Canis lupus familiaris: one gene and its partners. The protein of the gene in region 6 purifies or fractionates together with the protein of the main gene of each other region. This does not show direct contact. Links are inferred from orthologs where the notes say so. Each region holds a gene or a part of one and is shown on either strand. Other genes may lie near its edges.

Region 1 (4,355 bases), on a different chromosome or scaffold from region 6:
TCCACTCGACTTGACCCACAGAAAATGGTACCCTCCTCTATCCACCCTCCAGTTTGCATTTCCAACCCTACCACATTTTTTAGGAGTCATGAGATTTCAATCTCTCCCTTTCCACCCAAGAACAAAGAAGGCCTCGCTGGTCCTCACATGCACTCACACACCTCCAGGCTCCTTCTCTGCTTCCTCTTCCTGACAGATCACTTGGAACCGTCCAAGATGTCTTCACTTCCTGCTCACTCTTCACCCACCGTCGCCTGCCTTTTCTACAACTCTGCTGAAATACTAATTTTTTCATGGACTTGAAGGGTGCCCAAACTTGTAGCTTCTTTCTAATCTTCACACTACTAAATCTATTACTAGATTTAGCTCATGTCACTCTTGCACTAGGTGTACTGATCACCCTGGTGTGTTTCAAATACATCAATGCTTCTGTTCCTCAGCACACATTTAACACGAAAAACATCACCTTACCCTATTAATTTCAGGGTATAGCTCAACACCCCACTGATACGACAACTACTTTCAAAAAGTTCAAGGGATCCCTGGGTGGCTCAGCGGTTTGGTGCCCACCTTCAGCCCAGGACGTGATCTTGGAGTCCCGAGATGAATCCCACATCGGGCTCCCTGCATGGAGCCTGCTTCTCCTTCTACCTGTGTCTCTGCCTGTGTGTGTGTGTGTGTGTCCCTCTCTCATGAATGAATAAAACCTTAAAAAAAAAAAAAAGTTCAGTGGTGCCTCTTCCTAAGCACCTCACATTTATAATTTAAAGTCTGTCCTTGCCACACCTACCACCCTACACCACCATGTCTTCCGGTGTGCTCCCCATCCCCAGCAATGAAGGGTTCTTGAGAGGAATCAGTTCTTCTCATCTTCAGTCCAATGCTTTAACAGGTGCTAGATGTTCAATACACATGAACTTTCTGAATCCATATTTATAAGATTCAGGGAATCAATGTTCTGGCTCTAAATCATTTAGAAAATCTACTGTTTCACATCAAAGTAGTTTGCCAAGGACATTTTTAAGCACTTAGATTTGACTCATAGTTGAGCAAATATGGTTCCAATTCAGCTCATTCCAGGTTTTAAGTAACATTTGATTCAAGTCCCCCATAAGAGCCAAAGTCCTAAAATGAAATAAAGAGAGTAGGAAGGAGGTGGGGGAGAAGGTTGGATAGTGAAAGACAGGAAAATTATCAATACCGGAAAAAGCTGCCACTGCTACAGGCATTCATCATGATCTCTATGGGTTCAACACCGGTTTACCTTTAAATTCAAGGACCAGTCTCTTCACCCTACAGTTACAACAGAACAAGGGTCCACCCTGAAAGTCACACAAGGGAGTTTAGTTTACTAAGATACAAACAGACCAGCCTCTACAAGGTCAAGACCAATCAACCTTCCATAATTCTTTCCATGCCAACCAAGATCATTGGTTAAACATCTGTCTCCACTCTTGAGGACGAAGGTCTGATCACCTGGCTCCAAGTCTCTTCACCTCCAAGCTTAGCCCTCATAGCATATAAGCCACCCCAGGTAATTTTACCTGCACAAACTTTAATAAAAAGAATGTTGTGAAGATTCACCTGAAATAGATATTCAACTAAGATTCACTTCCACAGTGCAAGAGTAACACCCTGACGTTTAAACAGATGTATTACGGGGTGGGGTGGGGGGGGGGGCTTAGAAAAAACTGTATCTTTTGGTATGGGCCTGTTCAATGTTCACAATTTTAGTGCTACCTGGATATCTTCCACATTTACTGTTTAATCCCAATTAGGAAAATCAAGAAATAGGAATTAGAGGGTTTCAAACGAAGCACTTCCCACATGATTGCAGCTGCACAGCCCAGCCCTGTGAGCTCTGGTGGCTGGCCACACCAGGGGCTGTTCACTACACCCCAGCAGCCTGGACCTGGGGTTCCCACCTGAGCTCCATTCCCTTCACCTTGTCCCCACTCTCGGGCCCCCTGTTCTGGGAGCACAGGCACATGGGGTGGGCAACAGGAAGGATGCTCCTGCTCCAAATCTGCCTCAGAAAGCAGCAAAGTAGCAACTGGCTGAGGTGGCAGATGGGTTTGGGGGACTTACCTATGCGACAGGATGCCGGACCCCCACCAGGCAGAGGCCCGAGACGTGGCCCCCCACCCCATGTCCTCCCCTCCTCTCTGGTCAGGAAGTAGACCCCTCTACTGATAGTCCCAGTAGGGCATGACCCAGATCTCCACGCCTCCCTTCATGCTCCCTCTAATCCTGGGTCCTTTAGAGCCCCCGTGTTCCAGCCTCCAGGCCGCGGGTCTAGAAGTCGGCCCCCAGGTCCCCTGCCGTAGGTCCCCTCGCTGGGTCTGCTTCGGAAGGTCGCTCCCCTGGGCTCGCCGGTCGCAGGTCCCGCAGGACCCCCACCCCGGGTCCTCCACCTGCCCTCCGCGGGTCAGCTCCCGAAGGTCCCTCGGCCGCCCCCCAGGTCCCCTCCCGCAGGTCCCTTCCCCCGGCCCCTCGGCCCCTCGGCCCCCCAGCCCCGGGCCTGCTCGGCGCCCGGCGGCCCAGCGTCGGCGCAGCCAGGCCGGCGGCCCGGGCGGCGGGGCCCAGACGTTCTGCGGCCAGGCGCGCGCCCGCGGCGGGAGCAGGGACGGGACGGGGACGGCGACGGGGACGCGGCGGGCGGAGGGCGCGGGCGGGCGCGGGCGGGCGCGGGCGGGGGCGGCGCGGTACCTGCGGGTCGATGTCGCCCACCGCGTAATACTTGACCTCTCGGAACATCTCCTCGGGAACTTTGGGCGCCGGGTCCGACATGGTCGCGGCGGCCGCAAGGCTCCGCGGCGGCTCCCGCCCCGCCCCGCGGGGCCCGCTCCCCAACCGCGCGGCCGGGGCCCGGTCCTGCGAGTCGGGCCCGCTCCCCCGCCCTCCGCGCCCCCGCCCGCGCCGAGCGGCCCAAGCGCGGGAGCCGCGCGCGCCCTGCGGGACGCACCATCCCGCCGGCCGCCGAGGGGGAGCGCCGAGGGCCCGGCCGCCCGCCGGCGCCGCCCCCCACCTCCCCCGCGGCTCGAACCTCCGCGGGCACGGCCCCCACGAGGCCCGCTCCACACACCCGGAACCCGGAGCCGCCGCCGCCTCGAGAGGCGGACCCCGAGGACGCGGACAAACGCGCCCCCCCCCCGGCGCGGTCCGAGTGGGCCGGTCCCGGGAAAGAAGGGAACGCGGAGGCCCCTCCCGTCAACACGCGCGGCCGCTCGGGCTGCGCAGGCGCGCGGCGCGGGGGGCGGGGCTTGCGGCCGGCGGCGGAGGCGATGGCGGCGCGGGGCGGCCTCGGGCCCCGGAGGGACTCCTGTCGCCGCCGGCCGCCCGACGGGACCGAGGTAACGCCGCAGCGCCCGCAGGCGACAGAGGTCGGGTCTCGGGCGCTCGGCCCCGGCCGAGGGGCGGGCGCCGGACGGCGTGCGGGACGGAGGGCGCCGCGGCTGGCCGGGGTCCTGGGCCTCGCCGGTGGGCGTCTCGCCGTCGCACCCGCAGCGCACTCCTGCCGAGGGAGGCCCTGCCCCCCCCCACACACAGCCCCCGGCGGCGGCCCGTCGTGACGTGCGCGTTCTGACGTCACCCTGCCGGCGCCGCCCTGACGCGTCCTCTCCCTGATGTCACCCGGCGGCGCCGCGGAGCTGGCTGCTGTCACCTGCTGAGTGGTCAGCGTTCTCGAGTCCGTGCGAGTGCGGTTGGTTTTTTAAAGACCCGGGAACCTCCGGAGTTCCGTTCTGGGGTCTGCCTGAGCTGTGCGGTCTGCGGGGACGGGCGCTCGGGGCGGAGCAGGACGGGGTGGTGGGACCGGGGAGGACGAGGCAGGATAGGGAAGGATGGGGAGGACTGGAGAAGACGGGGTGGTGGGACCGGGGCAGGACAGGGCAGGGTGGGGGAAGATGGGGGGGATGGGGGAGGACGGAGCAGGACGGGGTGGTGGGACCGGGCAGGACAGGGCAGGGTGGGGGAAGATGGGGGGAGATGAGGAAGGACGGGGAGGACGGAGCAGGACGGGGTGGTGGTATCAGGGCAGGACAGGGCAGGGTGGGGGAGGATGAGGATGAGGAAGGACGGGGAGGACGGAGCAGGACGGGGTGGTGGGACCAGGGCAGGACAGGGCAGGGTGGGGGAGGATGAGGAAGGACGGGGAGGACGGAGCAGGACAGGGTGGTGGGACTGGAGAGGAGGCAGCAGGATAGGGGAGGTTGGGGAGGATGGAAGAAGATGGGGTGGTTGGACTGGGTAGCCCAGGAGGACGGGAGAAGAAAGGGAAGGATTGGTGGGGGTGTTGGCTGGCCGGGGAGAACCAGGCAGAACGAGGAGGAGGGAGCAGGACAGGGAAGGATGGA
Region 2 (4,252 bases), on a different chromosome or scaffold from region 6:
AGCAGTGTGTCCTGGGCCCCAGGGGCCTTGTGCTGGGCGCCCGACCTCTGTGTCCACAGGCGGATCAGAGGCCTGGCTGAGGGGGGGCAGGGGGTGGGGCCAGCCCAGAGCCGCAGAGGGGGAGCCAGGGAGGATGGCCAGGCAGGGCAGCTGGGCCGCAGCCCAAGCAGGCTGGAGAGGAGACGCGGTGAAGAAACGGGAAGGGGGAGGGGGATAGGGAGACACGGGGAGATAGGGACACAGAGAAGGGAACAGAAGGGGAGAAAGGGGACAGCGGCAGAAGGACAGAAAAATGGGCTCCTCAGTTCCCTTTGAGATGAAGACTTCAAAAGCCCAGGGACACAGGTGAGCCACCCCTCCAGAGACCTGGACTGGGCTCCATGTGAATAAAATTCAGGGTGGGGTGTACAAACAGCACCCAATGGGCGGGGAGACCCCCCATGAAGCAGGGATTCTCCATGAAGCAGGGATTCTCGGTGGCCTCTGGACAGCTGGGAACCTGGGTCCCACCTCCTCCTCCCCTTTCTTCATAGGGAAGCAGCCAGCAGGATGAGTCTCACATACATCAGGCCTCATTCTGGTCCTTTACTGCCTTGGGGGCCCTGGACCTCCTTCCCTGCACATCGCTTGCCTGGGATGCAGGAGGGAGGAAGACCCATACAGCCCCCTACCCCCACCCCTCGGAAGTCCTGGCCAAACCCTGTTGGCTGGAAGTGGGGACAAAACCAGATTCTGCTGGAAGAACCCACCCTTCAACCTCGGCTGGGCCCACTGTAAAGTGCTCTGAGTTCTCCGGGGCGGGGAGGCCAGTGGCCAAAACTGGGTCCTGTAAGCGAGAGGTCAAAGCCTGACAGCTCGCAGAATATCCACAGCAATGCTGGCCACACCGGGCCCACCTGGGAAAGAGGCCAACAGGTCCTGGGACAGGTTGAGGTGGGAGGGGTATGGCCGGAGCCAAACCCAAATCTTTCCACCGGAGGGGACACAGGAGTCAAACCAAGCCCTCTGGCTGGAAGGCTCCCTGAACCAAACCAGGTAGTTTTACAGTCATGGGTTGACCCAGACGCATGGGCAAGAGGGGTCAGGGGGCCAAACGAAGTCCTTTCCAAGAACAGCACGTCAAACAGAATCCATCGCGGCAGCTCACTGGTCCAGTGAAGCCTGACTCTGGGAGGAGAGAGGCTCAGCAGGTCTGCAGGGTCGTCCCGGCCGTGGCGGCCGCCTCCTCAGACACTGATGGTGCGGAAGACTGTGAAGCCTGACAGGGCGGTGCTAACGAGGACCCCGGGACACTGTGGATGCCAGTGCAACTCCTTCAGGTCTGTCTCGCCCTGGTGCACGAACAGCAGCTGCTGGGGAAGGTCCGCCAGCCCAGGGTCGGTCTCCGTGTCGCCTGCCTCGGGGTCCCGTTCAACTGCCAGGTCCCACTGTGTGATCTGGTTGTCTGCCCCTGAAGCTGCGAAGACTCCGCTGTCCTGGGGGTGCCACTCAACAGAGGTGATGGGGGCCACGTGCTGCTTGAAGGTGGCCACCGGGGAGCCGGACTATGGGAAGAGGGGAGTCAGGGGTTCTGGACACCCCAGCCTGACTCCCAGGGAGCCCTCACCACTCTCCAGCCTTGGGGGTTCCACTGGGGCCCCACCCCTGGGACTTGCACAAGCCCAGGTTCTCTGAAAGGGGCAGAGGGCCAAGTACATCTGGTAATAGAGGCATAACATCCTGGAGGCTGTGGGAACTGTGGTTTCACCTGCCAAGCCCTTCCAGCTCCAGGTCACAAAGTCCCCACCGCAGGTCCTCCCTGGACATGCCTCAGGTTCCCTTCCTATAAAGGGGGTGGTTCTCGGGGGCCCCCAGAGTGGCTCAGTCATTTAAGTGCAGACCCTTGGTTTCAGCTCATGATTTCAGGGTTGTGAGATCAAGCCCCACGTCAGGTTCTGTGCTCAGTGTGGAGTCTGTTTGAGATTCTCTCTCCCTCTCTGCCCTTCACCCCACTCATACTCACTCTCTCTCCAAATGAATCTTTTTTTTTTTTTTAAGATTTTATTTATTTAATCATTAGAGATACAGAGAGAGGCAGAGACACAGGCAGAGGGAGAAGCAGACTCCATGCAGGGAGCATGATGCAGGACTTGATCCCAGAACCCTGGGATCACCACCTGAGCCAAAGGCAGACGCTCAACCACCGAGTCACCCAGGCATCCCTAAATAAGTAAATCTTTAAAAAGGAGGGGAGTAGTGGTTCTCAAACTGCTCTCTCCCTACTGATTCTATGAAGGCCTTAAAGAGAACAGAACCATAGCTCCCAGTGTCCAGAAAGAAAGAAAAGCAGCACTTCTACTAACTCAAAGGTGCAGCTGAGGACTGGAATCTCTCTAAACTGGAGAAGTAGTTCCAAAGTCCCAGTGGCCAATCAACTTGGCCATGGAACCTGGCCCTACACCTGCCTTGGGGGCTGGAACCGGTTTCTAGAAGGTTCCTCAGAGCTGACGCTATAGAAATCCTTACACCTGAGGAGAGAGAAGATGCAATGTCTCATGTCCAGAGCCCCTCCTAGCTCTATAGTCAGTTGTCACTGGGTGTGATGTCACATCTGTCCCTGTCCTTCCTGTACCTGTTTCCTCTCCTGCAATGAGCAATGTGGGCTCCAATTCTCAGCTGATTCCACAAAGCTCACTAACATAAAGTCTACAGCTCGCTGAGACTCCAGAAGCCCTGGGCCACGTGGCCAGCTGCTCTGCTTGCCAGCGGGTAGATGGGAATGGGGAGTCTCTGCTGCTACCTGGCCGCTCGTCTCCTGTCACCTCTCCAGCTGGGGGGTGTGTGTGTCAAGCCACCCTCCACCAGGAACAGCCTTTTCCTGCTGAGCCCTGTTCCTCATCTGCACCCCAAAAGGGCTGGACCCCAACTCAACAGGCCCTCCCAGCTCCGGTGTAAACAAGCACCTAAAGAAGGGAAGCCTGCAAATCCCAGGGCCGGCTGGGAAAATACCTTGAACTGCCTCAGGTCCCAGATCTTGAGGGCTCCATCGTCCCCGCCGCTGAGCAGGAAGGGTTCCCGGCGGCTCCAGTTGATGACATTAACATCTCCATCATGGGCAGAGGTGGTGGTGAGCATGCAAGCCTTGCTGGGGGCAGCCCGGATGTCCCAGATGCGAATGGAAGCATCAGCCGAGCAGGAGGCGAACACCTAGACAAGGCAGGGCCTGGGTGACCTCGGCGTACCTGCCACCCCAGCCTGGACCCCAAGGACGACTAGCGATGGACTAGTGCCCCCTCACTGTGCCTAGCTCCCGTCCCATCCTCCTTCAAGGCCCAGGAGTCCAGACCACCAGCCCCCCTCACCGTGTCCTCAGTTGGGGACCACTGTAGGTCCTCCACAGAGCGTGTGTGGCCCATAAATGGCCGCTGGTCCACATGCCAGGAACCACCATCCGTTGGCGTCCAGAGGTGGATGTTCTTCTGGCAGTCTCCGGTCAGCAGGCGCCCTGGAAACGGAGTCAGGAAAGTATCAGGGCCCAGATGGCCACAGCTCCCTCTTCTCCAGCAATTTTAGCTCCCACCTTCCCTACAGATCCTGCTCCCTCTCACACCCCCAGGACCAACTGTGCACCCCAGGGACTCACCAGACACCCGGGGGGACCAGTCAAGAGCAAAGCCCTCGCCCATGTGGCCAGCAAAGGTGAAGATGGGCTTGACACGGGCCTGCTCATCCCGGAGGAAAGTCGCCAAGGCCTGGGGATCATCCACCACCTGCAAAAGCCGCCGCAGGGCAAACACCTCCACCTGGCCCTTCTCTGACCATATACCAGCCACCGGCTCCTCGCCCAGCCAGGATACCTGCAGGGGAAGGGACAGGAGGCTCAGGGTGGTGACCACAGCTCCTCACAGCCCCGAGAAGCAGAACTGCAGCCCCAGGGCTAGGACTCCAGCTCCCAGAAGCCTTGGTGGGGACAAAAATCACAGCCTGCAAGATCAGCTTGGTACCTGGGACAACTTCCCATTCTATGTAGAGGCATTCCACCAACCCTTGGAAGAGGTGGGAGGTGCTCAGACTACCAGTCCTTGTAACCCTCTAAATGTTGGTGAGTCACAGGCCATCATCCTTGGTTCTCTTTGCCCTGTACATCTGCTCACTAGAAGATCCCGTTCAGCCTCAAGGTTTCCAGTGGTCCCTAGTCTTGACCTCTCCTCAGCTCTAAGCTCCTACCACACTGACTGTTCAGATGGATCCAAAACCGAGCTCCCGATTGCCA
Region 3 (3,578 bases), on a different chromosome or scaffold from region 6:
GCAGAAAAGGAAAGATATATATTTAATATATAAAAGAAAAGGCTAAATCTGACATAATTATATTCTTAAAAACATTCCATTTATTTACAGATGTATAAAAAGGCGAATTATTGGTCTACTGAGATCATGCTTCTTATAGTGTTAGGGTGAGAGCTCACTATCCTCCCAATTTCTCAACTCCTCTCACTCAACTACATCTTTCATAATCACACAAGTCATTTTCATAGATCAGTTTGTCCTGGGGTAAGGTTAAAGGGTAGGAGTTTTTGGAGATTTGAGATTTGTGTCAAGACTGCAGGATTGTTCTGAAGACTGAGCCCTCCTTCAAATTAGCCCTCTTAAGGTCTTGAAAATAACCATTATCTTGGGAGTTCGTAATGACATCTGCAGCCTTTCTTAAACACCTGGAATCATCATTTCCATCTTTGTACAACAAATCTTATGTCAAATATCTTCCCATCAAGAACGATTAATACCTGTTTATTTTCTTCTAAAAAAGGGAACAGTGTTCAGAATCAGAATGGTCCTTTTCCTGAGGATTATTCACTCACCTGCCTTCTCCTTGGCTGACCCTCAAAAGCCATAACAAGAGCCTTGGGAAGTCAGGAGGAAATGTGAGGACGAGGCAAGCAAGTTAATAATGGGAAACTGCTATACCTGGATTAAAGTACTAGGATCTCCAAGGACAATTATTAGCAGGGGAGACAGGTGCTGGACTCCTTGGCTAAGGCATTGAATGAAATCTGCTGGGTAAAGAGTGGTAGGGATCATGAGAAGCTGACAGGCACTCAATACCTACTTCAAGCTTCTTCAAAAACCTTTAAGGGAGGGAAGGTCGAATGCTGATGCACAGGTCTAGAAAGGCAAGTAGCAAAAAAACAACAAAGAATTTGCTCTTACTGCAATTTGCAAAGGAAATTTTTCCACCCTTTTACAATCTGCTGATTACCAGAGATACTAGAAAGGGTACCAACCATGGAAGTACTAATTCACTGGCTAGAACCATTTCAAAGCTGGTCTCACAACCTACGTCTGAAGATATGTTGAGTAGGATTTGGCATAAAGAAGGCGGGGGGGGGGGGGGGGGGGGGCGAGGCGGGGGAGATGCAGAAGAAATAGCATCACCTAGGCACAGCCCAGGCACTGGAAGCTCTTGTGTTAGTGTTTCACAACACAAGCAAATCCTGTCAATGAAGACAGAACAGGGGTTACATTCCAAAATATAATTATTTAAGAAAGGCAAAATGCAGCAGCTAAATCCCAATCTATACATTTTCAGAATAGTGATTCTTGCCCCCAGGAGTTTCCAAGAGACCCCTCAAGTGCACCATGATTATTTACAAACTAGATAGGAAACATCATTTCTATACTCAATACAAATCTCATCTTCTAGGTTGAAAACTTCAGCCTTTGAGAAATCTATGAAAACAACTATACAAAAATATAAATATCTTTATCTTTACAGGCTGTCAGTCCTTCATACCCTGACAGCTAATGAGTGAAAAAGCTCTACAGATCATTGAATCCATGGTAGCAGATAATAAAAAATATATCTTGTGATTCAAATACTGCCTCATTTCCCTGGTAAAGAGTGCCTACTGTGACTTTTCTTTTCTTTACATCCTGTGCAGGTAATAGTGAATGAAACCTTCAAGCACCAGGAGGCTGGTTTGATTTAGGAAACATCCAGCCCCACAATTTTTGTTTTGGCCACTGTCTCTGGTCTGGGCAGGGAATGCTTTTCAGTTTAGCTGTCTCTTGAGTGATGGGATTTGTGAAAAGGGGAGGGCTCCCTCTATGCCTACTTCCAAAATATGTCTTCCAGGTAGAAATCCCTGGTACTGTGAAATGTCTTTTCAACACCCAGACAGTAAGGGAGAACTAGTACTTTCCTTAACATCTCAAAATAATCACTTTTGTAAAAGCATTCCTACTTTACCAGAAGGCTTGGATTTATAGTTGATTGAAAAGATAAGGGAATGGAAGCTACTTGGGATATGAAAGAGAAAATTTTGCTGAATGACACAAAGTGTTTCACTTTGGTATTCCATGGTACCCATCGTCTCTCCCACTACTCTTGAAACACCAACTAAAAACTCTCTCTTCTGAATCCCTTCACACAAGTGCATCACATTCCTTGGATTTCAGACTTAAACCACTTAAAACAAAAGCTATCCACTACAGTTCAGCCCATAGCAACTCCAAAGTCTCAAGCAGCTTTTTCTCTGGGAGGGAAGAACTAGGAACCACTATGGACCTAGAGTCTTGTTATGAATTCCTTGGGTAAGAGGGGCACCTCGTGTTCAGTAATGGATCACATCTTCTTAGAGAGGATGAGGAGACCCAGCACCACAAGTGAGGTAACACATTTTAACATGATCAGAATTTCATAGTAGTAATTTCTAATATCGAGGTCAGCACCCTACCCCCCTTTCTCTACCATCATCCACCACATCAAAGTCAAGGATCACAGTTCCATGACACAAATAAACAGATGCCTACAGAGAAAGGAGGTTTCCCTCATAGCCTGGCTTCTGCCTGAGGACAAGTAAGTTCATTTCCCTGCAGAACTTGGTGAGGCCCCAGAGTTGCCCAATTTGGCCACAACAGGTGCCAGTGTAGGCATCACCTTGCTCTCCCGGCATTCCTGGTCATTCCCTATTAAGTTCATTTTGTGTCCAACCGATCCAACTTTGGCAGCTACAGGTGCCAAACAAGGCATCACCTTGAGACTCTGACCATCTGCATCACTAGAAGGATTAGCTACTTTTAAACCTAGAGGTGCCAACTTTGGCATAGGCCTCCACAAAGTATCTGTGCTGCTGTTCTCTACACCAGCCTTCATGTGTAGGATGGGAGGCGAGGACACACTTTCAGGCTCTGCAGGGATGCCAGAAGTACTCTTCCCTCCATCACTGGCTTTCCTGTGGGAAAGGAGGGAATCCTTTATCTCCGAGTCAATAACAATCTTAAGGACATCTGGCTCAGAGGCTGGTTCAGCAAGCTGTTTTTCAGTCTCAGAAAAGTCATCATCTTCCAAGTGCAAGAGGAGAGGACTGACAGAGTCATTCTCCCTTTGCACATCAGGCAACTCTTTCAAACCACTTCCCAAGTGGCCAACCTGGAAAGTTGCTCGGTTACCAGAAGGAAGCTTACTGATAAAAGCCCGTCGAGCATCCCCTGTGAACTCTGTATCCATTGAGCTGGGCAGTTCAGCCAGGCTAACAGAGTCATCGTTTAGTTGCTGATTAAGAAAGGCAATCTCATTGAGTAGAGAAGTCAGTGTCTCATCAGTATCATCCTCATCTTCCATGTTAGTTAGCAGTTCACTGGGATCTAGCGCTGCTTCCTCTATAGCAGATGCTACCTTTCTCAGTTCCATCTCTATACTTGAGTCTTTGAGATCTTTCATCTTCAATTTATGAAACGTAGACTCCTTTGGCTTTGGTTTCTCCCGTCTAGATTCACACTCTTTCCACTTGTATTGAATACCTCTCACTTCACCAGAAATCTTTTTGGGTAAGAACTCTTGTGCTTCTTGCATACTGGAAACATCAACTATTTGTGGAAAACCAGAA
Region 4 (4,336 bases), on a different chromosome or scaffold from region 6:
TGAGGTATTAACTACCTTTCCCATTTCATAGCTGAAGGAATTGCAGCAAGAGAGGGTTTTTCTTGCTGAAAGTTACTCAGAGAGGTTATGGCAAAGATCCGTTTTGTTTCTCAATCTATGGAGTCACAGCCCAATGATATCTGCTCAGTCCAAATTATTCTTAAAAGAAACTGCTGGATATGGAAATTATAATCTGGATATTCCAAAGAGAAAATTATCACTTTATTTGAAATAGATGAGCGAATTATTTTGCGCTGTGTTCTATCCCTTAATTATTCTATTATATACAGATCTGAACTCCTTCAGGGAGAGTGTATGGTATAAGGACACCAATAAGCATTTACAGTATATTAACAAACCAACAATAGGTTGATGATTCGCCCTGGATTCGTGCCAGGGTGTGTGAAAGAACTCAATAAGCATGATATGCATTTCAAAAACTGCTCGTCATAATTAAAATTTCCAAACCTCTCATTCCTATAAATTATATTAAACAAGAGTATGCGCATTTGGCCTGCCCCTCACTCCCCTTACAGCACCGCGGACCCTGTCATTACCAGCCTTACCAGAATACTAGGTTTCTCAAAAGAAAAAGGTGATCTTCTTTCTTTCTTTCTTTTTCTTTCTTTCTTTCTTTCTTTCTTTCTTTCTTTCTTTCTTTCTTTCTTTCTTTTCTTTCTTTCCTTTCTTTCTTTCCTTTCTTCTTTCTTTCTTTCTTTTCTTTCTTTCTTTCTTTCTTTCTTTTTTTTTTTAATTTTTCCAACTTAAGGCATAGAGTTGTGCACACTGCTCTCTCCCTAATACCCTCTGCGGCTCCCTAATACCCTTCTTTATTCCTTGATGAGACTTTCCGGGCTTTGCCTCTTTATTATATTCTTTTTCAAAGAAGCAACGCGACCTGCGAATTTCGTTTTTCCTTTTCTTAATTAATCTTCTGAAATCAGAATTTCGGAAGAGTCCTGCAGCGAATCGCTGGAGCCCACTCCGAGTCCCCCTCCCCCCTCCTCCCCCTCCTCCCCCCGCCCCCCTTCCCAGGGACACGAGTCCGCGTCCGAAGTGGCTGCGACCGCAAATTGTGACCCCGGCCCGCGGCGCCGCTGGGACCCGCACAAAGACGCGCCGCGGTCGGGGGCCGAGCCCACCGCCAGCCGCCGCCCGGAGCGCGCGCTCGAGCCCGGGCCGCCGCCGCGTCGGTACAGACCAGCCTCTCCCCTCCTTCTCTCCTGCTCTTTTTTATTAGAAAGAAAAAAAAAAAAAAAAAAAAAAAAAAAAAAAGAGGGAGAGAGAGGGAGAGAATGAGAGAGCGCAGGAAGCCCCGCCCCTTCGCCCGCCCTCCGCCTCCCATTGGCCCGGCCTCCGCGCGCGTCACGCCGGGACGCGCCAATGGCGAGGCGCGATACTGCGAGGTGGGCCGGGCCCGAGCGCGGAGTGGGCGGCGGGTCGGTGCAGCAGCCCCGCCGCGGCTCGGCCACCATCGCCGAGGCGCCGCTACTCCCACAGACGCTCGCGAGCCGCCCCCCGCGCTCCCAGCCTCCTCTTCCTCCCGCACGCCCCAGACGCTCGCCCGCCTCGGGTCTCGCCCCCGCCTCCGCTTCCCCGCCGCTCTTCCCCTCGCTCGCCTCCCACACTGTCTCTGTTTCTTTTCTCTCCTAGTTGAGGGGGGAAAAATCAGCATCATCCTCAGGGAGCCCCTCGCCCTCAGGAACACAAAACCAGACATGATCCTGGGCTCCCGCTCCTGAAGGACTGGCCGAGCGAGCAGCAGGGAGGCTGGTGGAGACCGGCCCCGAGGTCACGGGAGGGAAGCCCCCGCAGCCCCCCGGCCCCGGCCCCGTCCCCGTGGCCGGCCCCTCGTCGGCCCGAGCCCAGCGGCCTCCCCGCCCCGTCCCCCACTTTCCCGGGAGCCGGACGAACACACCTCCATTGATGGTGTAGCGCATCCGGGGAAGGTAAGTCTCCAACTTGCCGGCGTGGGGCTGCTGCCGTCCCCCCGGCGCCTCGTCCTGGGCGCGGGCGCGGGCGCGGGCGCCGGCGCGGGGCGGCAGGGGGTCGGCGTGGGCGCCCCGGGTCCGCCGGTGGGGGGGGCGGCCAGCGAGCGGCGCGCGGCCGGGGGGCGGGGGGTGTCGGGAATAAAGGGCCGGGGACTTCCTGGGCCCTGTGCGGGCCAGGTAACTGTCCCACTCGCCTGCCGACCCCTGTTCTTTCTTTGCTGCTTATTCATGGTCTTGTTTGACTTGTCTGAGGGTTAAACTGTTTCATGTGACTAAATTATTGGCTGAAACTGGGGGTTGGGGTGGGGAGGCAGGAAGGGAAGTCAGGGACCCAGACTGTACATTTCTTGAATGTTTGTGGGTCTGGGGGTCTTGGTGGTGGTGGTGGTGGTGGTGGTGGAAAGGACTCTTTTGAAAGTATCATTTTCACATTAGGGAAAGATTCCCTCTTTGTGCTCTACATCTCCAGGTCTCTGTGTGGTTCCTAAATTATTACGAAAACCCCCAAATCATTTGCAGCAGAATAGGATTCTTACTACCATGTTTGAGTTCTGCTCTCTGAAAGAGAGAGTGGCTTCTATTTTTATTTTTATTGAAGGTTTTGAAAAGAAGAGAGGTAGTAGTTTGACATAAGATGTGTGTGTGTTGGAGGGGGGAGTATTGCAGGTTTCCTTTGAAAGTGGTTGCTTGAGAAGTTGTTGAAAGGAAAACAAAATGATTCATTGTCGAATTGTCATGTTCCTCTGCCTCTTTTCCAAGGTTTGCTTGCAATTTCTCTGGATTAGAGACTTCAGACATTGATTTAAGCAAAAAACGTGTCCTTGAGAAACTGGGTGCTTTAAATGTTTCAGTGTGTGTTGTTGCTATTTTAAGGGACATTTAGAAAGTAGTTTTGTATGAATCCCGAAATAGCTTTCCCCAAAGCAAATTTTTAAACGCAGAAAAGATAACTAGTAAAAGGGAAACTTCGTGGATTGCAAAACAAACATTTTGATGTCACACAAATTAATGCACCCTATGTTTAGATACGAAACTGTTTTGATAATTGCTTTCCGTTTAAAGAGAGACCTTTTTTTTGTCTGGTGTACACTGGTTTCTTTTAGTCTCAGTCTGTTGGGGGAGGGGAGAGAGGATGGATCTATACAATAATAAAATCATCTTTGGGTAGCTGTTTCCTTCCATGGATTTCCTTGCTGAGTTAATGCCACTGTAAATTATAAACCAGTTTTGATTTTGATGGCCTGGGTGGAAAGCTGGCTTCTAGCTCTCCCTGTTGTTGTTGAGGGTGAAGGGAAAAGAGGCAGAGGCAGACACACACACACACACACACACACACACACACAATACCAGGCTGAGGGCTCATTGTTCTTCCATACACACATTCATTCTCTCTCTCCCATATTTGGGACTAGGTTTGCACAGACAAACACAGCTCTTTTTTGGGAGAGAGGAGAGAGAAGATGGGGGGAAGGGTGGACGCTTTTCTTTTTCAGCTTTCTTTCACCCATCTCATGTCTGGCCTTTTTTTTTTTTTTTTTTTTTCCAACCTTAAAAGAGGCAGAAGAGTATACCGGAAACTAAAGGACACTCAAAAACCTGTTCAGAGACTCCTCTTCTCCACCTCCCTTCTTTCCTTTGCAGCCCTAGTTTCTGCTGCTCTTTTTTTGTGTGTATGTAAAGATAAAATCCCTCTTTATATGTCGTGGCCTTGTAGTCAGCTTTCCTATTCTTCATTGCCCCTGACTTTGTTGGGGACAGTGATTTGTTCAGTTGACTCTTATTGTAGTGAATGTGACCAGGGCCTTTTCTAGGTAGAAGTAGATCGTCTCAATTAAGATGAAAAAGATCGTGTTTGAGATTAATATTTAGTAAAGGATGTCTGTGTGTTTTGACATATTAGTGGTCTGATGGCTGATAATAGGTCTGCTGGCCATTGAGATGTCATTTTTTGTTTTGTTTTGTACACAGGGGCTATAAAGACAGATCTGATTTTCTCTTTTGGGGGCTGGTGTAGAGTCTTCGTTAAATACTGGACAGGGAATAGGCTGACCGATCCCACCTGGGTTAAACCCAGCTCTGGGCCAAGGATGGAGGTTGGTGTGAATACTGCGGGTTGCAGAATAGCACCTTCTACTGGTTAATTGCTTTGAAGGATCCTGATGAGGAGCATGGGGGAGGGGATTAACGGCCGAGGCCTAATGATTTTCTTTTGAACGCAGTTGTAGTGCCTTCCTGCAAATGCGACTTCCCTGAGCTGCTAATACACATGCCCTTTGACTGGCACAGATGCATTGAGGCTTTTTACGTTATTGGCTGTGTCTTGACATTAATGTGTTCTGTTGTCA
Region 5 (4,202 bases), on a different chromosome or scaffold from region 6:
GGCAGCCCTGGTGGCTCAGAGGTTTAGTGCCACCTTCCTAGAGACCCAGGATCGAGTCCCGCATCGGGCTCCCTGCATGGAACCTGCTTCTCTGCCCCTCTCTCTCTCTCTCTCTCTCTGTTTCTCATGAATGAATAAATAAAATCTTAAAAAAAAAGAAAAGAGAAGAAACACTTAAAAAAGACCATGATAGTTAGTTACTATGTGGAGAATAGTAACCAGGTTTTGCTTCTGGGCAAGAAGCAGGAAAAGATTGCAACAACTTGAAAGATATATGGTCAGAGGTGCCAAGTACTGGTGATTAACTTTAATTAGATTGGGAGGATAGAGGGTCAGTTTGGAAAAGAGAAAAGGCAAGGACAATGCCTAAGAGCCTAGCCTGGGCAATATGGTGGATGTGGAGCCGTTTGTGAAGATAAGAGATAGCAGAGCTGTTGCCTTAGGCAAGAAGATAATGAATTCAATTTTGGATAGAGTTTGAAATCTATGTAGAGATGTCAGTAGACAGCTGGAAAACTCTGAACTGGATTTACAGACCTAGGAGTTATTCTGACATGGTGACTGAAATTGCCAAAGTAGATAAGAATATCTAAATAGCAAGAGATGCGTGTGTCTTCTGATATTAAATACAAAATTAAGTGGTTTTTCCACAGTTGAGAATTCAGGGCTTTTATCAAATCCTCAAAGATGAAAACCACGAGTAAAGATGGTATCAGAAGTCCTAGAAGTGGCAAAAGATGTCTCGGGTGAAAAACGTGTAGAGAGAGAAGAAAACCCCAAATAACACCAGCACGTAAGGAATGCAGAGAGAAAGAGCAGTTTGCAGAGGAGCACAAGGAGAGGCCAGATGAGTACATGGAGCAGCAACAGTGTAAGGTACCGAAGGAGCCATTCAGAGGGGAGTTTCCAACAAAAGCAAGTGGTCAGTTGTGTAGACACTAGCGATAAGGAGTGAAACATCTGATGGAACTGACAAGGTCGTTGGCGACCTCAGTGAGAACAGTCTTAGAGCTGTGCTGAGCGCAGAGGTCCCTCATGTGAGCAAGCGGACATAGCGAACGCAAACAATTTTTTGGAAAAGCTTGGAAGGAAGGGATATAGGAGATGGCAGGGTATCTGGAATTAAGGGAAGGCTCTTTCAAGATGGGGAAATATTTAGGATGCAGCAAAGTGGTCAAGAATTTATCATCAGGGGTCATTGTGAGGTTAAACCCAGGCGTTTCCAGGTACTGTCCAACCGCCCACAAGCCACTTAACACTTCTGAGTCTGTTCTGACAAACGGAGAACAAGAAAAATAACCTCTGGGGACTTCTGTGAGGAAATTAAATGAGATTATGCTCATAAACTATTTTTGAGCACTTGAGCCACCGTGGGCACTGGGCACAGTAACTTCAGCAAATATTTGCTTATTACAGGAAGAAATGAACAGAGAAGTTGAAAATAAGGGGAGAAATGGAAAATGATGGATTCATCAATGCCTCAAGGACCAAGGAGAATATATTACGTTTAGCCTAAAACAAGAATAAGGGGTAGCCCTGGGTGGCTCAGCGGTTGAGCACCTGCCTTCAGCCCAGGGCCTGATCCTGGAGACCCGGGGTCGAGTCCCACGTCGGGCTCCCTGCATGGAGCCTGCTTCTGCCTCTGCCTGTGTCTCTCCCTCTCTGTCTCATGTATAAATAAACAAAATCTTTTAAAAAATAATAAAAATAAAACAAGAATAGGGGAAATTCACCGTAGCCGGGGAGGGAGCGCAATCGTCCTTAATTTTGCTGAATGGGATCCCTGGTGGCTCAGCCGTTTAATACCTGCCTTTGGCCCAGGGCGTGATCCTGGAGACCAGGGATCGGATCCTACATCGGGTTCCCTGCATGGAGCCTGCTTCTCCCTCTGCCTGTGTCTCTGCCTCTCTTTCTCTCTGTGTCTCTCATGAATAAATGAATAAAATCTTTAAAAAATTTTGCTGAATGGGCAGCTGCGGGGTGGGAAATGGTAGGCGGCGCAGGAGTCTAAATAGCTGGAATCAAGTAAGAGAATGGGATGAAGACAAAACCAATTAAGTTGCAGAGTGTACCTCTGCGAGGGTACCGCGGAGGGGAGAAGAAAAAACAAAACAAAACAAAAAACCCCGCCAAGTTGGGCAAATTTTCTCCAGGAGCGCTGGGCAGCCCCAGCAGGTAAAGGCCAGCAAGACTGAGGACCACACATTTGGGAGCAAGTGTTGGAGGCAGTTCACGCGAAAGGCCGACCGGCCTGGAGGAGAGCCCAGGATGGGCAGCGGGAGCGCCAGGGAGGCCCGGGAGCAGCCAGGAACCGGAACCGGAACCGGGCCCGGCGGGGGGCGGGGGGCGGGGGGCGGGGGTCCGGCCCCCCCGCCCCCCTCCCCGCCCCCGCGCCGCCCCGCCCCGCGGGCCCGGGCGCTCCGGGCACAGCCGGCCCCGGGGCTTACCAGCAGGCCCTCCACGTTGATGGGGTCGCGGCACCGACGGCGCACCGTCTCCTCCGCCGGGTCCACCAGCAGGCTGGGCAGCTTCCGCGCCGGCCGCTGCTGACTCATGCTGCCCGGCCGGCCGGCCCGCGCCTCGCACCGCGCGAGCTCTCCCGCCTTCTCCCGCTCCCGGCCGGGCGCCGCCCCCAACGCGCCGGTTCTCGGGGGCCGAGCGCGACCTGGGCCCGCAGCCCGCTCGGAGGCGCCGCTGCCTGGGCCGGCCCGCGGGCGGACGCGCCGCAGCGCCCCCGACCCCCGATCCGGGGAGCTAACACGCAGCCCGGAGGCGAGCAGGGTGACCCGCGGCTCTCAGGACGCCAGGCCCGCCATCTTCCCGCATGCGCAGTGCGCCGCCCCCACTGCGCACGCCCGCCGCGGCCGCCGCGCTCCCACGCACTAACCCCCTCGCGGCGCCCGGAGCCCGGGAAAGCCCGGACGCGAAGTCCACGGAGAGGATGGCGGAGGAGAGGAAGAGGTGGAGCCGGACCCCCAAAGAAGGGAACGGAGCCAGAGAAAAGAGGCGGCGGGGCGAAGGAACGCAGGCGCCGACACTCAACACCGCTGAGCGCGCGGCTGTGGATTTAATCTTGAGCTCCCTCCGGCCGCCCAGGGCTGATGCTTAGTGAATGCCGGTAATCAGCCCGCTGTGCAGTTGCTTACAAGCTGCTGTCTTTCTCTTCCTTTTTTTCTTTTTTCACCTGATGAATAAACTGTTACCTGTTGTGTCAGGTGTCGTGGTGGGCACAGGACATAATCACCGGAATCTGCCACAGACTCAACCTCAAAGTCCAACAGAGGAAACAGATGAATAAACAGGACATTTAAAGCTGGAGCTGGAAAGTGTGTTTTCAGATCCCCGCCTCTCTCCTTATTAAGAGGACAAGGCTTTAAGCAAGTTACTTAAAAAAAAAAAAAAATCACTGTGTGCCTCAGTTTCCTCATTCATGCAGCAGGAATAATGAGAGTGCTTATTTCTTAAGTTTGTTGTGAGAATTAATTAAATTACTTAGAAGGGTGACAGGCACGTGTTTGAAATAAAAAGGCAATGCGATGTGGTTAAGTACAGCGACTGAGCCCTGCAGTGGTTAGGCCAGGGGTTCCTACCCAGCCTGAGTAGGGCAGCAGGTTTCCCCAGAAGCAGCTCCCCCACTAGATTATAAACTCCTCCAGGGAGAGGCATTCTCTAATCTTTGTATCTCCAGCATCTAGCACGGTGCCTGCCAAATAGTAAGAGCTCAGTAAATGTTTGCTAACTAAATGACCTGAAATAGAGAATAACATAGGGGCTAAGTTGCTAGAAGATTGGATTTTGTTGCTGAATGGAGATTTTCCCAGAGTGGTTGAAATACACCCTTACCAACCAGAGTCCCCAGGAAGGCAAGCTCTGGAGACTAGAATGTTTTTCATAAAAAGGCATAATCCACTGTTTGCTATATGTTTGGCATTCTACTAAAGTTTCTGCATACATTTTTGCATGTAAATCTTATATCAAAACTGAAAGGTGGGGCACCTGGGTGCCTCAGGGGTTGAGCATCTGCCTTTGGCTCAGAGCGTGATCCTGGGGTCCTGGGAACGAGCCCCATATCCGGCTCCTCGCAGAGAGTCTGCTTCTCCCTCTGCCGATGTCTCTGCCTCTCTCTCTGTGTCTCTCATGAATAAATAGATAAAATCCTTAAAAAAAAAAAAACCTGAAAAGTGTTTTCCTGCCCAATTTAT
Region 6 (3,578 bases):
TCCTAAAGCTCACCGCAGAAACACATGGTGGGTAAAGTGGCCCAACGAAGATGCTCATCGCACTCCTCCATGAGAAATGCAAGCTACGAACAAGCACCTGCTAAGGCCCCAGCACAGAGTGCCCACTGCCCATGGGGGTCTATGGACACCACAGATGCCCGAGAAACCCTCCCACAGGGACGCACAATAGCTGTGGTCACCCCCACCACTTACAGGACAGATGGTGGGAGATAGCACATATTTAAAATATCAGAATACCCAGGGCGTGCGGGGGGGGGGGGGGGGGGGGGGCTACCAGCAGGGGTCCTGGAGGGCTCAGGAGAGTGACTTTCTCTTCACTGCATCCGTTTGTCTTTTTTAAAAAATGAGTACGTTTCACTTCCACAGAAAACAAAGACTCTATAAACCCTACCACTTAGGCTGAGGGTCCCACCCACAGCCCCCGCACCACCTCGCACTGCTGGGACTCCTGGCCTTCACTCAGCTTGCATCCTGGGTCCTGCCCACATTCACCACCATGCCCATCTCAAAGTCAGCTCTCCTGGGACTGGGGGTCCACGGCAGAGGGCAGAGCGCCAGGTGGGCCAGGCCCCCTCTCCACAGCACACTGCCTTCCTCGGGGCCCCCAAGGATGAGCCCCATCCACACTGGCCGGGACTCTGGGCAGCGAGGGCCCCTCAGTCCACTGCGACCAACACGTAATACATGTCCTCCATGTATCTGGGCTCTGCGAATGGTCTCAGCTGGGCAAAAAAGCCCTTTATTGCCTGAAAATACTTAAAATCACTCACCTACACGATTTCAGAAAGTGAAAAGGACCATCTGCTCAGTAAAAATAAGCACAATGTTTACACGATTCCTTCCCCTTTCCAAAAAAAGGCAAACTTGGCTAAGAAACAAGTCTAGGCTCTGCTGACAAAGAAAAAAATCTCTCGGCCACTTTCAAATGGAGGGTTTGTATTACAGCAGATACTTCAACTACGTACCTCATCTTGCACACTGCTAGCGTGTGCACAAGGCAGGACACAGCACACACAGGGTGCTCGTGGGGCTCCAACCCCCCCCCCACCCCAGCCCTTACCCTCGGCTAGCTCACCCCAGCTCATTCCACCACCACCCCAGGATCAAAGCCAACTCCACTCCAAATTCACTTCTCTGTGGCCACACTTCCCAACACACAGCCCCTCTTCCAGGCCTGGCTGCCCTACCTGTCCCACAGGATTTGGTTCAGGGACCAAACCCCTCGCCTGCCTCTCCTTTCACGGGCCCAGGATAGGGAGAACTCTCTCGGGGTCCCCAGTGCCCCCTCTCTGGCCATCACCCTGTCTTGCCATGTGGTGTCCAGAGCTCAGCGGGACTTACAGCTGAGACCGGGTCCGAGTGTGCAGGCAAAGTCTTGAGGCACTTCCCTGTTTTCACGTCCCATATCCTCACGCTTTCGTCAAACTGAAGACAAAGGAAGAGGTTAAGGCCACTCCACAGGGAGGTGGGAGAGGACAGGTCTTCTGGAACCCAAGGCCTGCCACCACGGCCCCCATCCCCCAGCAGAGAAGACTCAGGCTCAACTCCTAAGTCTCTGGCTACAAAGTACCACACCCCCACACCCCTACAACACCCCAGGGGAAGGGGGGGTTAGACTTACAGAGCCCGAGACAATGAGGTTGGATTGGGGATTGAAGTTACAGCAGAAGACGTAGTTACTGTGCCCCTTCAGGGTTTTCAGACACTTTCCCTAAAACCAAGTATCGTCAGACTGTTAGTCCTAGTGGTTATTTCAAAGCTGAGCCCACAGCGGCCCAATGGCACATACCCCACAGAGCAGGGCCACCCCATGACCCAGGGTCCCCAGACCCCCCTCGGACTCCCGCCCTGCCCCTTGTCCACGCACACAAGCTCTGCCGGGGCGGGGGTTGGGCAGAGCAGCTCACCGAGCTCACATCCCAGATCTTTAGGGTTTTATCATCTGAAGCAGAAACGAGGAGGTTGGAATCTGATGACCAGGCCACATCTGATATCCCCTGGGGAGCAAAGACACAGGGTCACCGCCTTGACAGGACAAAATACAGTTAACCAGCAAAGGTCAGAACATCCATCCAAAGATAAATAAGCACCTCACTCCACTACCCAAACCCTCTAGCTACTGCTGACCACACAGACGAAACACCGCACAGTCCCCAAAGGAGAGTGTGTTCTCTTGCAGTCAGGCAGAAACTTGTCTGGGAAGGTCAGAAGTACTTGCTTAAAAGACAAAAGGAAAAAAAAAAAAAAAAGACAAAAAGCAAAGAACTATCCAAAAAACTCCGGGGGAAAGCTTAGACCTTAACCTGCTGAGCTCTGGGGATGGGCCCCACCCACCAGTGGGGCTAAGGCGGCCAGTGGGCAACCTCCACGTGCAGGGATGAACCTACCAGCTTGTGACCAGATATGGTTTTCTCAAACTTTCCGTCATATGCTCCCCAAATTTTAATGAGCTTATCAGCAGCTGAAAAAAAGAAAGACAAAATAACTGTGATGGTACAGTCACCCCAAGGGCAAAATCCGGGCTGCCCACAACAGGAGCCCTGGAAACAGTGCAAATCCCATGGAAAGAAGTAGCCGGCACCGGAGTACCCTTCCCCTCTCCCCTGAGCACATCATCTCAGAGTGTTACGTAAAGGGCTCCAGCCCCTGCGACACCCCAGTGGCAGCATCAGAAAGCAAGCCCTCCCCCTGCTCCGGGCTTCTGGTGGCAGCACAGACTACCTTTGACAGGAGCGGAGGCCCTGGTGATACGTACATGAACTTGCCAGCCACTCTCCATTCGGGCTGAATTTCACGGAGGACACGGCTTTTGTGTGGCCAGCCAGGGTGAATTTTAGAGCGTAGTTTGGTTTAACAGGGGTAGGCTGTTGAAGAGAGAATACTAGTCATCAAACCATTAACCACCACCTTGCTTCAAACTCAGAACCACCTTCTAAGTTCCAAATCCTGCTAGAACTCTCTGGAAGTCCTTTCCAACTGGTCGTGTTTAAATCTGGGCTATTTCCCCTCGGCAGCCCTGCTTCTCCTGCAGCCCCCACCTTCGTGCCCAGCTCTTCCAGGACAGCTCAACACAGAGGCCCCTCAAGGCCTGACCCCACCCCAACGTCCGACACGCATCACCAAGTCCGGCAAGCACAGCCTCCCTCAAAGCAAACCTGAAGGCTGTAGCCTTGCTCAAAGGCCTGTATGTGCCGCCTGGTGTCCAGCAAAGGGGTTTGCAAACCTGCCTGGCCACCAGAACTGTGGACCAGGGGGATGCTGTATGAGAGGCTTTCTGGGTGCTGCAGAGATCTTACGATCAGGAACAAGGATCTATGTTGTGATAAAGCCCCTTCTCCGGGGGACAGGTCTGGGGATCCTCAGCACGGTAAACAAGCACTGATTAGGTCTGTGGCCCATAAATAAAAACACAGTGTCTAACTGAAGAGGGAGAACAGACTTGGAAGAAGCATCTCTGAAGAGTACTCGGCCTAGGCGCCCCTGGCAGTTCCCCTCAAGCCCTCAGGGACATGCCTTGCTCTGCGTAGCCGAGGAGGAAGGGGTGGGCTGTGCTCTGG
Region 7 (3,578 bases), on a different chromosome or scaffold from region 6:
GGACACACCAAGGCCACAAGCAGGATGAGTACAGGCAGAAAAGATGCGCCAAACACTCTGAGGAGCTGTCGGCCAAAGAGGTGGCCAGCGGGAGAGTCACTCTGGCCCTGCGGGTTCAGACCCGAGCACAGGGCGGTCAGGGGTCACCTGGTGAGCCACGGGAGGAGATAGCCCCCACCCTGCCCTGCTCAGCTCTTGCTACAACCAGGCAGCCTTCTCCGCCTGCTTTCCTGAGACCTCAAGCCCTTGGGGGAGATGGAGGCAGACACTGAATCCATATGGATCTCCGTGAGGGCCATCCGCTGCCCTGCCATATGGCTTAGTATGGGAAGTGCTAAAATAAGTTCTGCCATCAGTTCTGTTCAGAGAGCCATGCCGTCTATGTGGGAAAACAGAACACACATCAGTTACAAATGGCCATGAAGAAACAAAGCAGGCTCAACGGGAGTGGAAGTTTGCAGGGTTGTGACTGGTTTTCTTCTCAATAACCTTTGCTCATAGACCTGTGACCACCCCCACCCCCAACCTGGAGAAACAATGGTGGTCACTGAGGCCGACCGCCAAGACACGTGGAGGACACCTACCTGTGTCCATCTCGTCAACACTGTTCAGGAAGTCATCTGGGGTTCGAGGGACGCTGTAGCTGCTCATGCTCAGCCCACTGTCTGTGCTTTCATCCCGGGAGTGGTAGGTGCCACTACAAAACAGGAGAATTCAAGACCTACACCAACATTTTAAATGATTCCAATGTAAAGGTGAACACGATTCTCTAGGAGGGTCAGTGAGACTCCTGCCTATAGTATGTGGAGCAAGCATCACCCAGTCCCCGGGGCTCACGAGGGACCCATGGTGGGATGTGACACGTTTACCCTGAGGCAGGCATAGCTCTCCCACGAGTCTGGGGCTGGTGGCAAGGAAAGCAGAGAAGAGAGGCTCGCAGCCTTCCTTGAGAACAGAAAATTCTCTGTGTGCTGTCCTGTCATGCCATCTGAATCTGGCTTCTATCATCTCCCCAGTGGGTCCACACAGGCTGCAGGGGACAAGGGATGCAGCCCCTTGTATACAGAGCTCAAGCCAAGGAAAAATCAACCCAATACAAACCCACAAGGCCTTTCTGAACTGGGCCAAAAGGGAGGGGTCACCACTGAGAAGGTAACAACTCCCCTCAGGGAGGCTGGGGGCCTCAGGCAATTAGGTTGCAGGTCGTGACCTCAGGGTTGCAGGATGAGCCCTGTGGCAGGCTCTGCGCTCAGTGAGGTGTCTGCTCCAGATCACCCCCCACCCAACCTGTGTGCATGCTCTAAAATAAAGCTCCAATAAAAAAAAAAAAAAAAAAACAAACAAAAAAAACAAACCTCCCCCAGCTTTGCCTTCTTGCTTCTTCTGTTTAGGGGGAAAGACCCCAAACACTTTATTTAGCATGACACAGCAGTCCTGAGAGTTCCAGCTAAGAAAGAGATTTAAAACCCCAAGCATTGGGCAGGTCAGGTGGCTCAGTGGTTTAGCGCCGCCTTCAGCCCAGGGCATGATCCTGGAGACCCCGGATCGAGTCCCACGTCAGGCTCTCTGCATGGAGTCTGCTTCTCCCTCTGCCTGTGTCTCTGCGCCTCATGAATAAATAAAATCTTAAAAATAAATAAAACTCCAACCATGCCAACAATTCTAAGGTATACACCTTCAGGAAAAACAGAAAAGTACGAGTGAAGATGGATTTTAACTTGAGGCTAAATGGTTACACATGTGTGGTCAATATCCCCTCAATCCACAGACACAGAACATGTGCCTGAGCCAGTGCCACACAGACAGCAGCCGGCGTGACTACAGGATTTGGAGTTCTGCTAATTCTAGAAAATTGTACAGCAAATAAAGGTGACTGGTACTTTTGATGGTCTCCGACGAGGATGTGAACTTTAACTTTCCCCCAAGCCTGGAAACTTAGGTAACTATTTAGCTCACATAGCTTTTGTTTTGTTAAAAAACAAAAACAGCTAAGCTTTCCTTAGAAATAAGCTGTAACAGTTGCTCAAGGTTGAAAACTCAGTCCCCCAAATTTCTTCCCTAATTACCCAAAGGAGCTACCCTGTCCTCCCTCCCCTCACTGTGTATATTGAAACCATGGATTACTCTAAAATCTGCCAGATTTTGGCAAGAGTCAAAAGCCTCACAAAGACCCAAGAAAACACAAATTTGCCTCTAAGACCATTTGTCCACCGTACCACTGTGTTCCATCCTGCCTGGATCTGGGAAAGGGGCCTGGTCACACTGCACTCCTGCTGTGAAGAGTAGAGCACAGACGGACACCGGAGACGCTGCTGTGGGGAGGCTGAGCTCACATGGTTGTGCGGGACTCTTTTGGAGCCACGAGACAAGCATGGGCTGCTTCTCTGCCCAGGGCCCCGGCCCATGCCTCCCACAAACACACAGAGCAGGCATGTCCTCAGGCTCTGAGGACAGAGAGACAACTACAAAAACCTACAGATGATGGTTTCTGAGAGACTCATAATGTCGAGGAGACAGATGAACATGTGTGTTAATGAACTATACTCAGGCGCTATGTGAGCAAAGTGCTTTGAGAACAAAGAAGGAGCATGGGAAAGCAGGATCTTGGGATTCTGGGGGGCAGGGGGACTCTGTGCCAGGGCTGAGAGTCAACCTGGTGGTCAGTGTGAAGTCTCCAGGATATGCTTGAATCCAAGAGAGAAATGGAACGTCAGATGAGGGTTTAGGACAGGGAGTACCATACAGCCTGGAAAAAGGATTCTGCCCTTGGTCCTAGTAATGCCGATCACCTGACACCCAGTGACCTTTACCAAGAGACAGAATCTCAAACTACAGCCTAGTGTTCATGAGACATTCTCAGGAAGAATTTGCACAAAGGATGCCCAGCCTATATCCACGTTCTATAGTCTGCCTCTACCCTCGGGCCACACGAGGCCCAACAAGATGGACATTGCAATCACACCAAGCTGAAAGCTTCCTTGTGGGGGGGAAAAGTCATGTGGCTCTGACCTTTCCTGATTCACTGTTGTCTATGTTCAGAGCCTCGTGTACATACACTCAGGTTTGGCAGAACCACAAACTCCGAACACATCTTAGACAGTCTTCAAGATCAAACCTAAAAAACCAGGCCCCCAACCCCAAGTCTAAGACTGAGCAAATGGAAATTCTACTGGACTGGACTGCATGTCTTGGTAGGATAAAAGAAATTTCTTTTTTTTTGTTTAAGATTTTATTTATTTATTCATGAGAGAGAGAGAGAGAAAGAGAGAGAGAGAGAGGCACAGACATAGAGAGAGAAGCAGGCTCCATGTAGGGAGGCTGACGTGGGACTCGATCCTGGGACTCCAGGATCACGCCCTGGGCCGAAGGCAGGTGCTTAACTGCTGAGCCACCCAGGTGTCCCAAAATTTTGTTTTTCTAAGATCATGAAGTTTGCAATTCATCTTCTGAGAACTGAAAGCGTAAGAGAACAGCTTTCCTAAACCAAAGGACCTTTAAATGTTTTTAAAGGTGCATTGTTTAAAACTAGTTAAAAAAAATCCGAAAACCAAAAAGTACAGACAAGAAAGTATTTGTTC

Evidence for each region.
Region 1: the proteins of WDR5 (region 6) and PAXIP1 purify together in Homo sapiens (affinity purification with mass spectrometry; 7 studies listed by BioGRID and IntAct, counting the BioPlex papers as one, with this or other methods). This does not show direct contact. The link is inferred for Canis lupus familiaris from reciprocal best matches to the Homo sapiens genes WDR5 and PAXIP1.
Region 2: the proteins of WDR5 (region 6) and GRWD1 purify together in Homo sapiens (affinity purification with western blotting; 3 studies listed by BioGRID and IntAct, with this or other methods). This does not show direct contact. The link is inferred for Canis lupus familiaris from reciprocal best matches to the Homo sapiens genes WDR5 and GRWD1.
Region 3: the proteins of WDR5 (region 6) and MGA purify together in Homo sapiens (affinity purification with mass spectrometry; 5 studies listed by BioGRID and IntAct, counting the BioPlex papers as one, with this or other methods). This does not show direct contact. The link is inferred for Canis lupus familiaris from reciprocal best matches to the Homo sapiens genes WDR5 and MGA.
Region 4: the proteins of WDR5 (region 6) and RERE purify together in Homo sapiens (affinity purification with mass spectrometry; 5 studies listed by BioGRID and IntAct, counting the BioPlex papers as one, with this or other methods). This does not show direct contact. The link is inferred for Canis lupus familiaris from reciprocal best matches to the Homo sapiens genes WDR5 and RERE.
Region 5: the proteins of WDR5 (region 6) and E2F6 purify together in Homo sapiens (affinity purification with mass spectrometry; 4 studies listed by BioGRID and IntAct, counting the BioPlex papers as one, with this or other methods). This does not show direct contact. The link is inferred for Canis lupus familiaris from reciprocal best matches to the Homo sapiens genes WDR5 and E2F6.
Region 7: the proteins of WDR5 (region 6) and YAP1 purify together in Homo sapiens (affinity purification with mass spectrometry; 3 studies listed by BioGRID, with this or other methods). This does not show direct contact. The link is inferred for Canis lupus familiaris from reciprocal best matches to the Homo sapiens genes WDR5 and YAP1.

The regions. Positions count from the first base shown.
Region 1 is NC_049237.1:18,846,200-18,850,554, forward strand, and holds the start of PAXIP1 (PAX-interacting protein 1), read right to left. Parts: upstream 2,859-4,355; 5' UTR 2,791-2,858; coding exon 2,710-2,790; intron 1,665-2,709; exon of another isoform or gene 148-1,664; intron 120-147; exon of another isoform or gene 1-119.
Region 2 is NC_049222.1:108,488,115-108,492,366, forward strand, and holds the end of GRWD1 (glutamate-rich WD repeat-containing protein 1), read right to left. Parts: intron 3,837-4,252; coding exon 3,623-3,836; intron 3,485-3,622; coding exon 3,342-3,484; intron 3,187-3,341; coding exon 2,989-3,186; intron 1,545-2,988; coding exon 1,227-1,544; 3' UTR 566-1,226; downstream 1-565. UniProt on the Homo sapiens protein: Histone binding-protein that regulates chromatin dynamics and minichromosome maintenance (MCM) loading at replication origins, possibly by promoting chromatin openness.
Region 3 is NC_049251.1:9,095,063-9,098,640, reverse strand, and holds part of MGA (MAX gene-associated protein), read right to left. Parts: coding exon 2,555-3,578; 3' UTR 1-2,554. UniProt on the Homo sapiens protein: Functions as a dual-specificity transcription factor, regulating the expression of both MAX-network and T-box family target genes. Functions as a repressor or an activator.
Region 4 is NC_049226.1:62,759,580-62,763,915, reverse strand, and holds the start of RERE (arginine-glutamic acid dipeptide repeats protein), read left to right. Parts: upstream 1-1,474; 5' UTR 1,475-1,949; intron 1,950-4,336. UniProt on the Homo sapiens protein: Plays a role as a transcriptional repressor during development. May play a role in the control of cell survival. Overexpression of RERE recruits BAX to the nucleus particularly to POD and triggers caspase-3 activation, leading to cell death.
Region 5 is NC_049238.1:8,186,909-8,191,110, forward strand, and holds the start of E2F6 (transcription factor E2F6), read right to left. Parts: upstream 2,810-4,202; 5' UTR 2,556-2,809; coding exon 2,448-2,555; intron 1-2,447. UniProt on the Homo sapiens protein: Inhibitor of E2F-dependent transcription. Binds DNA cooperatively with DP proteins through the E2 recognition site, 5'-TTTC[CG]CGC-3'. Has a preference for the 5'-TTTCCCGC-3' E2F recognition site.
Region 6 is NC_049230.1:50,410,378-50,413,955, reverse strand, and holds part of WDR5 (WD repeat-containing protein 5), read right to left. Parts: coding exon 3,535-3,578; intron 2,886-3,534; coding exon 2,777-2,885; intron 2,483-2,776; coding exon 2,409-2,482; intron 2,019-2,408; coding exon 1,929-2,018; intron 1,733-1,928; coding exon 1,643-1,732; intron 1,447-1,642; coding exon 1,363-1,446; intron 1-1,362.
Region 7 is NC_049226.1:29,537,553-29,541,130, forward strand, and holds part of YAP1 (transcriptional coactivator YAP1), read right to left. Parts: intron 698-3,578; coding exon 585-697; intron 1-584. UniProt on the Homo sapiens protein: Transcriptional regulator with dual roles as a coactivator and corepressor. Critical downstream regulatory target in the Hippo signaling pathway, crucial for organ size control and tumor suppression by restricting proliferation and promoting apoptosis.